Linked DNA regions of Drosophila melanogaster. The gene in region 2 interacts genetically with the main gene of each other region. Each region holds a gene or a part of one and is shown on either strand. Other genes may lie near its edges.

What was found.
Region 1: of Socs44A (region 2) and Sos, changing one suppresses a phenotype caused by changing the other (phenotypic suppression), as found in Drosophila melanogaster (one study listed by BioGRID).

The regions. Positions count from the first base shown.
Region 1 is NT_033779.5:13,811,972-13,820,067, reverse strand, and holds Sos (Son of sevenless), read right to left. Parts: upstream 6,253-8,096; 5' UTR 5,855-6,252; coding exon 4,763-5,854; intron 4,710-4,762; coding exon 4,352-4,709; intron 4,290-4,351; coding exon 3,367-4,289; intron 3,303-3,366; coding exon 2,454-3,302; intron 2,392-2,453; coding exon 1,501-2,391; intron 1,433-1,500; coding exon 799-1,432; intron 734-798; coding exon 690-733; 3' UTR 244-689; downstream 1-243. Other genes in the region: CG16888 (uncharacterized protein), read left to right, coding at 6,834-7,343; CG16865 (uncharacterized protein), read right to left, coding at 7,434-7,589, 7,711-8,016, 8,082-8,096. UniProt on the Drosophila melanogaster protein: Promotes the exchange of Ras-bound GDP by GTP. Functions in signaling pathways initiated by the sevenless and epidermal growth factor receptor tyrosine kinases; implies a role for the ras pathway in neuronal development.
Region 2 is NT_033778.4:8,125,751-8,130,089, reverse strand, and holds Socs44A (suppressor of cytokine signaling at 44A), read right to left. Parts: upstream 2,516-4,339; 5' UTR 2,386-2,515; coding exon 1,829-2,385; intron 1,767-1,828; coding exon 1,295-1,766; 3' UTR 614-1,294; downstream 1-613. Other genes in the region: Pbp49 (PSEA-binding protein 49kD), read left to right, coding at 1-595; coil (coilin), read left to right, coding at 2,891-3,025, 3,081-3,166, 3,221-4,339.

The DNA.
Region 1 (8,096 bases), on a different chromosome or scaffold from region 2:
ACTAATTAGCCATATACACAATCTTAATAATGGCTGCGATTATGCTGGACACTGCGAGAATGTCAGGTGTGTTGCAGTCGGATGTCGGTTCACGTCGACTTCATCAAGGCCACTGGGCACATAAAGAATACCCACGATCTTTAAACGTTGGAAAAGCCTTGATAATCTATGCTATTTGCTCAGATTGCCTTGACTTTGGCTACAATACTCTATATTTCTGGTCATCGAAAGATGTCGCCAAGTGTCTAACAATAGGGTTATACTTTATTGTTTTACGTTCTACGATCAATACAATGTTCTCGATATTTACAAATATTTATAATAGTAATTATATAATAACATAATTTCTTGTTTGCATTTCTTGTTGGTTGCTTGGTTGCTTGCTTGGTTTGTGTGTCCTGCATTCCTATCCATATGCGCGTGCCTGTTGTGTGTAAATGAGAGCGTATTTTGTCTGTCTGTCTGTTCTACCTTGTTAAATGAGTGGCGAATAATCTAAATCAGCGGTTCCAACTCGTTTCATACTAGAATACATAAACTGCGCCTACGTATATATGTATATATATATATATATATCTCACGTTCCGTTCTCTCATATATATATCTGCACTCAAGCAGTGCTCGCAACTTTGAATCTTACGGATCATACTCGTAGTTTTCGTCCTTATCACATCGCCAGGCAATTTAAATTATTCTTCGTTTGTACTTGGGTAAAGAAACATCGTACCTTTATCTGCAAACGGATAGGATGGTTGGGTTAGGAAACACGTTATCACGGGCCGAGTTGGTAGCACTCACCTGGATTGTTATAGAAGTTAGCGCTTAGACTAGGTTTTGGTGGAAGTTTGGGTGTGCCCTCGAGGCTCGTGGCAATCGGAAAGAACTCCTTGGGGGACGAGCGCGACTGCGTCGGATTCGAATGGTGCTGGTGCGGATGGTGCGGCAGATGGGTGGCATGATGTTGATGGTGCTGCGAGTAGATCGCTGGATGCGTCTGCTGCTGCTGCTGCTGCCGCATTCGCAGTTGGTGGGCATAGCTGCTCGACGTGCTCTCCACCGGATGGCTGGGAATGTTGGGAGACATGGGCGACATGGCGGGTGTCAGCGGTGATGTGGTCGTCGAGGAGCTTGCCGCTGGCGAGATCGGTAGCGGCAGCGGTTCGTCCGTCGCCACTGCCTGCGACACGGTCACTAGTGTCGTGCTGATGGGTCCCGCCGCCGCCTGGTTTGGCTGGCTAGTTGCCGCTGCCCGCTTCTCGATCGCCGAGTTGCGGCGTATCATAATACTGCTGGTGTTGGGCAGGAGCAGACTGCTGTTGCCCACAAACTCCTTGCTCTTGCCGTGGCTTTGTCGCAAGTAGCTGATGCCCGTGGAATGGTTGAGCCGTGGCGGTATCGGCGGCGGACTGAGTTCGCCATCACGCGGGGGTAACTGCAAGGATACGTAAAATGATTGCTGTCATCTGCTACTACAAATTAGAAGTAAGTGAGGCTACTTACTGTGGGTGCGTCTGGCGCCTGACGCTTTTGCGCCATGTCCGCACAGCTCTCAGTGCGCTCCTTGCGTCTGGGTGGCAGTGGAGGCGGCACTGCTCGGTACTCCATATTGGTGGCCATCGGAACGTTGACATGCGGCGAGATGGGCACTGCCCCCGGCTGTCCCTGATGGGCACTGTTAAAGTAGAATCCACCCGCGCAGAATTCCTCCCCGCCCGATGTAGACATGCCTGTAAGGGTCACGGTACTGGCAGTGCTATGCGTTGGGCTGTTCTGCATGCGCCCATGGAATGGTGATCGATTGCCGGTTTCGTGACGCGGACTGACCACTAGCTTGGGCAGCGGCGACGGTGGAGCTTCCGTGTCCGATGCGAATGGATTGCTGTCCGGCAGGGACTGCGGTGGCAGATGCTCCGGCAGCGCTGGACTGAACACAACATCCATTGCCGACGCACTGGCCAGTGTCGAGTTGTTGTTAGCCCAGACATGCGCGCCCGGTTTCTTGGGGAGATGTGGCGCCGGCACCGAAACCTCCCCGTTGTTCTGGTCCGTTCGAGTGTGCTGTGGCGTTCCACTCCAGCTGCTGGTGTTCCGTTCGGGTATAATAACAGGGGCGAAAACGGAGAAAGCGTGCGGATTGTGCTGCGGACTTTGCTCGCCAGCGAGAGTTCCAGATCCAGCATTAGCTGCTGCTGCTGTTGGCGCATCCATTATGCTGGAGGCGTGCAAAGATGGCGCCGATGCCGTAGCTATTGAGGTGGCCGTTGACGATGCTGCCGCTGCCGCCGCCACGGACGACGTGCTGTTCGACAGCTTGCTACTGCTGTTGGTCTGATTCTGGCGACGCGGCTTGATGCCCGGCGATTTGAGCGGAATGTGCGGCCATTTTCGAGGCTACGAAAGGAAAATGGTTAAATTTCCTATATGACTTGTAAACTTTGAAGCATTATACTTACGAATTTCGGCACTGTCTTGCAGCCCCTTGGCTCAATGCGCAGGCTTTCGTTATAGAGATAGTCGGACATCTGTTTGTCGGACAGTCCGTTAAACGGATCCAGTTGCTCGAAGAACTGTCGTATTGTGGACTCCTCGTTGAGGCAGTATGGCTGGTTCTGGTACTGTTGAATCTCGCCAATAATCTCGGCCACTTTCCGTCGTTTGGAAAAGTTAATTAGCTCTGTGTTGGCTAGCAGGTCGGGGTTACCCTCCTCCAAGTGGAGTATGTTGGTCAAGTAGCGACCGAAAAATGGCACACAAGGCGGATTGATGGATCGCAATCGCTCCTGATACTTTTTGAGATGATCGTCGCTGAGCTCGCGGCATTCCTCCAAGAATTTTCTGTAGCGTTCGGGCAATCCCTGGAATGTCCACCGCAGTCGATAAACAGATGCCGTGCCCATAGCCGCGACAATCGAGAGGATTCCATTAAAATTGTTCAATTCCAGCATCACCATCATCACTTCGATTGCGCGTTGCATAATAGCCAGGCGTTCCTCGTAGTTCTCCGCTTCGGTGATGGATTTTTCAATCCAGCGGGTGACGTTCGTGGTGTGCTTCATTATCTTCAGTAGATTAGGGCTCTTCACCTCCTTGTCCTTTTTCGTCCAGGGTGATCCGACCAACTCAGACGGCTTTACATTCTTGTACATCTCGAATTCCAGTAGAGTGAGCTGACGGGCCAGTTCCAGTGGGTGCAGGGTGAGGAGCGTTATCTCGTCGTTGGGTACACTAAGGTGATGCTCAATGGGCGGCGGATCGTGGCCATAGGCGTATACAATCTTTTTATTGCTTTTCTCCTGCTCGTTCTGTAAATAATATTTGAAAAATGATAACGATACTTCCACATTATGCTGTTGACCAACTACTCACCTTTCTCTGAACAATCTTAAGCACGGAATCCACCCACTTGCGCATCGATTTGCCATTCACGTGCTCCAGAAAGTTCAGCAGCTTCTCCAGCAACATGGGATCCTTCTCGAAATCGTAAAAATGATGGTCGACCCAATGGCGCAGTACGTTGAGCACTCGAAACTGCACTGGCTGCACGTACTCCTTGCGATATCGTTTCCAGTCCTCGCGATGCGAGTTCTTGTGCTCCTTGTCACCGCCAACGCCGCCCATTCCACCCGCACCTGCTGTGCCCGTGTCTTGATAGACCAGGCTGGGATCCGGTATGTTAAAGCGTTCCACCAGCAGTTGCAGCAATTGCTGCGGCGAGCAGAAGTAGCGATATGTGGTGAGGAAGGTGCGCACAAAAGTCGGATCGGCGTAGATGTGATAGGTGAGGCGCTCGATTAGCTTGCAAAGCGTCGCTCCCTTGATCATCGGCACTCCTGCGCTTTCGCGCTCCTCCAACACGATATTGTCACCGCTGTCCGGCACCGCGAACTTGTAAATCTCCGGACTGGGCATCCGCAGCGGATGCTTTCGCTCGATGTCTTGCAATATGCTGTCCAAGTGCCGGTCCAGCATCGACTTGGTGATAACCATCAGCAGGTCTGCCATCCAGTCGTGCTTGTGCTGTGCATTCTTGGCGGTCAGCACAATGGGCGGCTGCATCCGGGGTGCCAACTCAAAACTGTTCTTCAGATCATCGCTGTCCGGTCGATCGTTGATATCCACGCGTCGCATGAAATACTTCTCCTTCAGTCGGTAGTCGTAGGCCGTTGCTCCTGCCGATGGTGTTTGTTTCTTGGTGTTTGCCTTGCATAGCACCATTAGCCCGTCGAAGAGGAATACCTTGCGCTCGCTCCAGATTCGTTTTCCCGATCCAAGTTTGCTCAGCGAATCCTCTGTAAATTTGAAATACCATTTTAGTTGGAGGATGCAAGTAACTTTCGTTGCCAGCACTTACCGCGAATAAATTCATTGCAATTCTGGCCCACGTCCTTGTCCTCCCAGTGCTCCACCTTCATTTGGAGCTCCCGTGTCCGCTCGATTGCCAGCTGGCGGCGCACTCGACCGCTAACCGGAACTTGTCGCTCCTTGGACAGGCTGGCCATTACCTTTTCGAGATCGCAGTGGAGTGGATGCAACAGTCCCTGTACCTGTTCGAAGCTCTCGATGTCGTCCTGCGAAGAGCTGAGATCCTTGAGATGCTTGATGTAGTCGAAATACACGAAGGCATGGCAAATGGGCACCAGAAGCAGCTTGGGCAAATAGTATTTGACCGCATCGCGGAAGCCATGGCCGGCTGTGGTCAGAGATGAGGCCTAAAAGCAGGGATTTTAGTAGAATTCTTCGCACAGAAGGTATCAATACTTACCCCTGGCTTAGACAGGAGATTGTTGAGAGCATCCCGTGAGGCCTGCGAGGTAACGTCGTAGGCGTACTTCTTGTACACATCGAACTCCTCGGCCTCGGCCAGTTCCTCAAAGCAGCTACCGACGCAGGGGGCACTCTGCTCCTGGGACATCTCGATGACGTCCTCCAGGGAGCCGAGCAGAGTGACCGTCACCTCGTAAATGTCCATTATGTTGGAGAATATCGGTTCCAGCTCGCGCGGATCGGACACGATCTTCACCAGCTCCTCACGAAAGACGCGTATGATCATGTGCAGGTCGCGTTGGTACTGCTTCTCGTCGTGGATCAGCTCCTTGACCGTCTCCTCGTAGGTGGCACTTGCACGCTGCGCGGGAAGTGACAGGGGACTGGGCAGGATGTGGGCTTCGCTCTGGTTGAGCATGTCCATTAGCACACGATCGGCGTTCATCACCACCTCGATGTCCTCCTTGGTGATCTCGCAGTGGGCGATCTTGATCACATAGTCGCCGGCCATTTTGAGTATGTCCGCTGAGATGTACTCGAGCACGGCCACCAGGAAGGCGGACACGGAGCTATCGATCTTGTACTGCAACACATCCTTCTGGAGCAGCGTGTGCACCTTTTCCGTGGGCAGGACAGACTTGCGTTTCTTCGAGTTGATCACCTCCTTGGCCTCGTTCAGGGCCCACTGATCGATGGGCGCTGGAAAGGACTTGTTCACCTTCTCCTCCACATCCTGCACGGAATGGGGCAGCGGCTTGGCGCACAGCATGGCCAGAAGCCGCAGACAGAGTTTCTCCACATACAGCAGTGCGTCCTCCTTGGCGGTAACCCGTGGATGCACTTGCTCCAGCACCTTCTTTAGCGATGGCGTAAACAAGCCCCTCCATCTCGCAGCATTCTCGCACTTGGTGAAGTCATAGCCATCGCAATCCTGCAGCCCAGCCACGCCACCGCCGCCAATGCCAATACCACCGCCTCCGCCCTGTGAGCCACTACCACTACCACCGCTGCCGCCGCCGCCTCCAGTGCCCAGACCGATCCCGCCCCCGTAGCTAATGGTGTGGGCATGGCCGCTGGGCCCCGAGAACATTCTGTGCGCCGTGGAGTAGCCGACGAGAGCCTGCCGTGGAGCACCTTCGTTGGCCGCCTGCCCTCCGCCTCCCCGCCCGCTGTGTTGTGCACTGAATCCAGCGACGAGTGGAGTGGAGCGGAACCTGGAAACTGGAAACCTGGAACCGTGGGGCACCTGGCACAGCCGGATCACCCGGGCGAACGTCGCATGGCAGTCACACACACTCAAGCGCACGCACTGAACTCGTTTCGAATCTTGAACGGGGCTCGCGCGTCCGTTTCGTTTGCAAATCGCTTGGGCTTCAGCACTTGTTTTCAGAATATGTATCTTCGATATATATATGTATAATATAATCTTCAACTCAATATAATATTTTTCGCGGTGTGACCAGAGTGCGGCACTGCCTAAATCCAGTAAATGCTCGCGACCAGCCCTGATTCGATGCTTAAGAATGTACTAAAAAATCCAATGTAGAGAGCATTCGTGTTGAATGGCTTTTTTAGCAGAAGAAGAAGCATTTTGAATTTAAATTGCAACGAGCAGGTTTAAAATATATTATAATTTACCCAAAAAAAATGAATTTAATTATCTCTTCAATGTTTATATTTCAAGAAATTTATATTTATATTTATAAAATGTCTTTCCTTATCTAAAATCGTAAGGAGATATGCAACATACATATCGACTCATCCCTTATTTTACTTGGATAATGTAAGATACATCCGCTTTCAACGCTTCTAAATCGAAAACAAGTACAATGTGTTCAGTTGAAACAATTAAACATATGAAAGCAATGCAATGCAACAGAATACAAAAACCAAAAACAGTTAGGGAGCTAGCTTCCAGAAGTCGAAGCTTCTATACCCTCGTATAATTATATATTTGAAAAACAATCCATCCAAAAACCATAACTATACGGTATATAGTATACATATACACATATATGTACACTTTTACTTTGTTGTCAAATTTTCAGTGTATAATACTTCAGGTTTCAATGTCCGCTTATAGATTGAGTTGCATCGGGAACGCGGAATGGGGACCCCATACCTCCAATCGTTCCAGCTCACTATTCAACTCGGAGGCCATCGAACAGTTGCGCGATAAGTGGACCCACTTCTTTTTTAACCTGCCAAAGGCGCCTCTCGAATTGCAGCTGGCCAAAGCCCGAGCGAATCGTGCACTCGAGCTGGTCAGGAGCAAGGAGAAGGCTGCTTTGGAACGGACCGAATCCTCGCCAAGAAGTAAGTGCCGTCCACTCACTGCTCTGCACAACTCGCCGCGTACCACGAATCGAATGAAGCTGATCATGGAGACTCGCGTGCGTCCAGCGATCGTCAAAAAGTCAAAGTCGGAGTACAATCTATGTCCCAGTTGTGGGCTTGTCAAGGACTCGATTCTCAATCACCAGCACGCCGAGCAGCGACTGAAGAAGCTACTGGCACAGCATCCCAGTTTGCTGCCAAAACGACAGCATAGAAGGTCAAACTATTTGCGTATGCTATAACTAGATAAATTGCAATTTTTCTTCCAAGAATGCCAGCCATTTGTGTCGTCAAATATATTTAGTTGTGGGTAATAAGGAGGCAGAGTGTGACTATCTTTCCAGTAGCGTGCCGCGCTGCTTCTTCTGCGGCGGAGGTGCGTCCTCTGTCTTGGTTTTGATGCCCACATCGCTCAATTTTCCGCCTTTGCGCTGCAGTTGCTTCTCGATAATCCTTGCGTTGTTCGCATAGCTGTCTGCGATCTCGCGCTGTTTGAATGAACAAAAAAAATGGTTAGTTTGAAAGAGTTGTAGGTTTGTTCGTAGATGATGCAATGATAGATTGGATTTCCTGCACCATTTACAAACCAACTTTAGCTGACAAACTTACCGCCTCGATTTCATCCTCCTCCTCGTCGATGGTAGACACCGTGACCGAGCTGAACTTGCCCATGTTCTTCGTGTGTCTGGTGACGACGACCTTCTTGCCACTGGCATCCACAATACCCGAATCGTCTGGACCGGCGGAAGTCGCTGGCTTGGCAGCCGGTGCCTTGAAACTGCCCTTGATCTCCGAATTCAGCAGCTGTGTGAGAGGACTCTCACCCTTGTTGCGGATTAGGGCATTGGACATGACGAAGGTTACGTGGGAGTCGGGACTGTGGCGATAGTAAAGCGGCAGACTGCAGCTTCGGCACTGAAGGTTAAAGGAAAACATTAGGTGAACTAATGACGGGTAAGGAGTGGAAGTCAGCTACTCACCTTGTAGCGGTACTG
Region 2 (4,339 bases):
AAAACGGTTTGTCGACATCAGCGACGATCCAGATGCACCGTTGCCATCCATTGACACAAATCCCGGTTACTTCTTCATCAACGACACATTCTACAACGACCAGCGCAATCCGGACAATCCCGACTATTCCAAGACCGTCTTGCAGTGGGCTGCCAGAGCGAACGGAGTGAACGGAGAAACGCTTAAGGTGGAGAGTATGGAGGGCAAAAGATTCATCGATCTCACTGTCAGCCCCGGATCACCGCTACACTACCTGCACCACGGCAATTGCGAACACCTGTTTGTGATCTCCCAGGTAGAGGTGCTAACGCCACTTAGTAAACGGCCAGATCGCAGCCTGTATCCCTATCCTCACGCCTTCAGTACGTTTAATCGCAGGACTTGCTATATGTGCGGCATTCGCAGCTATAGCTTCATCGTGAACCAGTCCCGGCGACAGCTGCACGATCCCTCCTACCTGTGCCGCAGATGTTTTCTCAGCTTCTTTTACGTGGATGGTGTCAAGCTGGGCCAGTTCAAAGCCTATCGCATGTATGACCATGTAGAGCTGGAGGGCGAAGAGGAGGACATTAAACAGCAAAATCTCCCCTCCTGAATATACATATACATTTGTGTGATTTTTTCTTTATTTGCGAGCTCCTTTGACTGCAAGATCGCTCAAGGAGTTGATTGATATTTTGTTCTTGTAAAATATTCATAGATAGATTTAAATAAAATACATACACGTTGCAACAAGAGTAATTGGCATTGAACGTATTCGATTGCCGTAAAGCTGCCTAAATTCCATGCAATCTAGATTAGCAAAAAGTTAGTGTCCAAGTTAGGAATACAAAAATGCAAACAACGTAAATAGTACGATACATCTGGCTTAGAACTTACGTTAATACATATATGCAGTAGTTCAATGTTTAAAAATTTGCTTAAGGATTTGCACACTGTGGTGCAGAGTATAGACTTGACCAGGACCCATATAAAACAAACCAATAGACTAAATATGGCAAATAACATAATACATTATCCTAGACAAGATACTAGTACTAACCGTACTTAGCAGTACAATACAGTAAAATTCTGTGCACTGGGATTCCGGCGTGCACGTGAAGAGAGACTGTGCGCTTAGTTACTGGGGCGTAGAAATGCATCAACAACATATTGCCAATCCGACCAACAAATATCATTACGAACAACTGCAGGCTGGGATTCCATTCGCCCGGACCTCTTTGGTGTACGCGCTTGCGTTTACTTCAGTGTTAAAGCTTTGACCAGCGGCTTCTCGACGGCGGGCGGCGGTTGCCTAACTCTGGAAGACCAGCTCCCGCTCCACCGACAAGTACTCCAGCATCTGCGCCGGCACTGGCAACTGGGCCAGCTGTTCGCGAGACATCTGGCGCTGCAGAACACGGCGGCATAAGTCCTGCAGCTTGGGCATGTTGGAGTACCGGCTCAACGGGTACTTGAGGATCACTGGAAACGGTGGCTGCATCTCGTTGGGAACCTTCACAAAGCACACAAAGTTGTCGTTGGTGCAGCGGTGCAAGATATCTTCGATCATCTCGACAATGGACTCGTACTTAAGTTCCTCGAAGTGCCAAAAATTGTCGCGATATTCCAGTCGATAATGCAGGGTTACGTTCACAATCCGAAAGCTGAGCGTGAATTGGGATCCGCTGGTTTCCGAGTCGCGGACTAGAAACGACCCAGTCGGCTTGTCACTCAACTGCCGCTGCGAATCGCGCCTGGAGATCTCACCCCAGTACCACACTTGGCTAAAAACAAACAAAGGGCATGAGTCATCGATCGTTGATGGACGGAGAAACACGGCGCTTACTTGAGCATCTCGGAGCAGGCCTTGTACATGATCTGGTTGGGCGAGTGGGCGTCCTCGCGCTCAAGCCATTTCTTCCGGATAAAGCGCAAGTAGTCGTGTGTGAATGGTAGCGTGGGTTCCGGACAGATGGCCGGCGTAAGGAACTCGTAGGTGGCATCAGTAGTTCCGCCGTCGTCGCAGTCGCCCATGGAGTGCCAGTTTCGCAGGGAGCTGAGCCCTTGGCCCACCTTCCTTCGTAGTCTGGCAAACACGTTTCGCTTGTCCTTGTCCCGCCTTCTGCGCAGAGTTCCTGTGCCCGTGCCCCCATTGCTGCAGCTGGCCATGGAAGAGTCCGCTGCCTCAAGGACGCACACTTCGTTGTTGTTGTTCTGCGATCCACTGGTGGAGACGGCGGCGGATGCAGTCACGGCCAGCGCCGAGTCGGACTTCTTGCGCCTGGTCAGCGAGTGGAACCAGCCCTTCTTTTCCTTCTCCCTGTCCCTCGGGGAGTCACCACCGCCAGTGAGCGCCTGGCTCCGCTGGCTGCTCTGGTTTTGACTCTGGTCGCCGTGGCTCATTTTGGAGTGGAATCGGATCGGATCGGAGCTTCCTCGTGGTGGAATTACATCATTGATCTAATTCGGAGCCGTGATCAATGCCTAACTTTATTGATAAGAACTATTTGTTTTCGTTGTACACAAGAACTGTCTTATCGCTATCGGTCGTGCGTAGCTGGTAAATGCTATCGATAACATAGGGGAGTTTAAAAAATTAAATTCTCTGCAAGGCAAAGCTTTAATTTATCCATTATTACAGCCCTCTGCTTTAGGCATTTTTAAAACTAACTTAAATTATTTCAAGTAAAATCTCGTTGACTTAAATATATTGTTTTCCATATTGCAATTTTTTAATATTAATGTAGTTTGTCATTCAAATAAGCTTTATTTTTATAAATCGCTACAAAAAATATGACATTAATTTGACAGAAATTTAAACACATCGATTTAACGATAACGAAATCGAACATACTTCCATCTCTAGCACATTTAAAATCATTTTAATCATAAGAAAACTAAGTCAAAAATGCAACACTCCAGCATGAAGGTGGATCTATCAAACTTTTTCAAGGACGAACGACGAAATTCGTTGGTTTTCATCGATGCAGCATGGAACAACATCAAGGACCTCCAGGACCACATACAAAACCTCTTCAGCTTGGCAAGATTTTTAAGAATCTCTAACTGCTAATTCTAAATAAATTGCATTCAAACAGAAGGACATTAGTCTGCTCACCTCAGATGGATGCTATCTGCCCCCGAGGGAGTCTATCAAAGTGTTGAACTCTGCCGAAGGACTCAAGTAGGTGAGCTTATTTCTTTTTACGATCTACTTGAGCATATTCATCCCTTGCAGAGCCTTTCGGTTTGCCAGCCACGATAGTGATACCTTTGTGAGCCCTGCTCCTGTAAAATCCAGTAAAAAGCGCAAGAATCGATCCGTCGAGGAACAGGTTCACCTAACCGCCTCCACTCCCCTCCGACCTTCAAAGCGCTCCAAGAACCAGAACAACTCAGAATGGATAAATATTGCAGAAAACCCATCTCGTGTGAGAAAGAAGGAGTTGCTAGATATGGCTCCTGGACCTTCTGTACAATCAAAGCTCTTGACAAACAAAGGCACTCCAAAGGCCCCTGAAACTCAGACAGAAGTTTCTAACATGTCAGCGAACATCGAGACAGAGAACAAGGAATCTGCTCCTCAGATTAAAAATAAATCCAAAAACAAGAAACCGACCAAATCGCCCGAGGCATCTGACCAGGTAGAGAATGAACCTGCTCCTAAGAGTATTTCTCGATGCACGCTCAAGGAGGGTAAAATGTCAGAAAGCAAGAATCAAGAGACATCGCCTGACATTCTATCAGAAAAATCTGGTGTGGTAACGAAGGAAAACGAAACTCGAGAGGAGCAACAGGACAAAACACACTTGGAGTCCAACAAAATTCCGGATAAACTATCTCAACTGAAAGCAGGGGACCAAATTGAGAAGAGTCCTGGCATTGCTGCTAGCCTCCTATCGATTTCGTTCCGCTCCCCTCTCTTGGAGATGCCCTTTAATGTTCCGCGCATATTTCAATTTCCCACTAAAAAACAACAAATTGAAATTCTGGAATATAAAAAACTTAAGCCCATCAGTCCTCGTTTTTTGCTGCAGAAAGGAGCTAAGAGTGATGATACGGCTAAACAATTCCCAAGCAATGGGAAGGATTCAACCTTAAAGCCTAAATCCTACGAAATTTTGCACGACGAAGAATTACCAGATGTAAAGGATAAAAAAAATGTTTCAGAAGGTATAAAGAGAGCAGTTGCACCTCTTTGCGAAGACATCATTGAAACATCAACCACTCTTCCGGGGGCCATAGGAGCAGTTGAATCCGCTTATCTGGACAATTCGACTGAAGCTGAGACCACTCTTCCGTCCGAAGCTGAAGCAACTAATCCACTTGAACTTACTGAGTCATTTCTACAGAACAA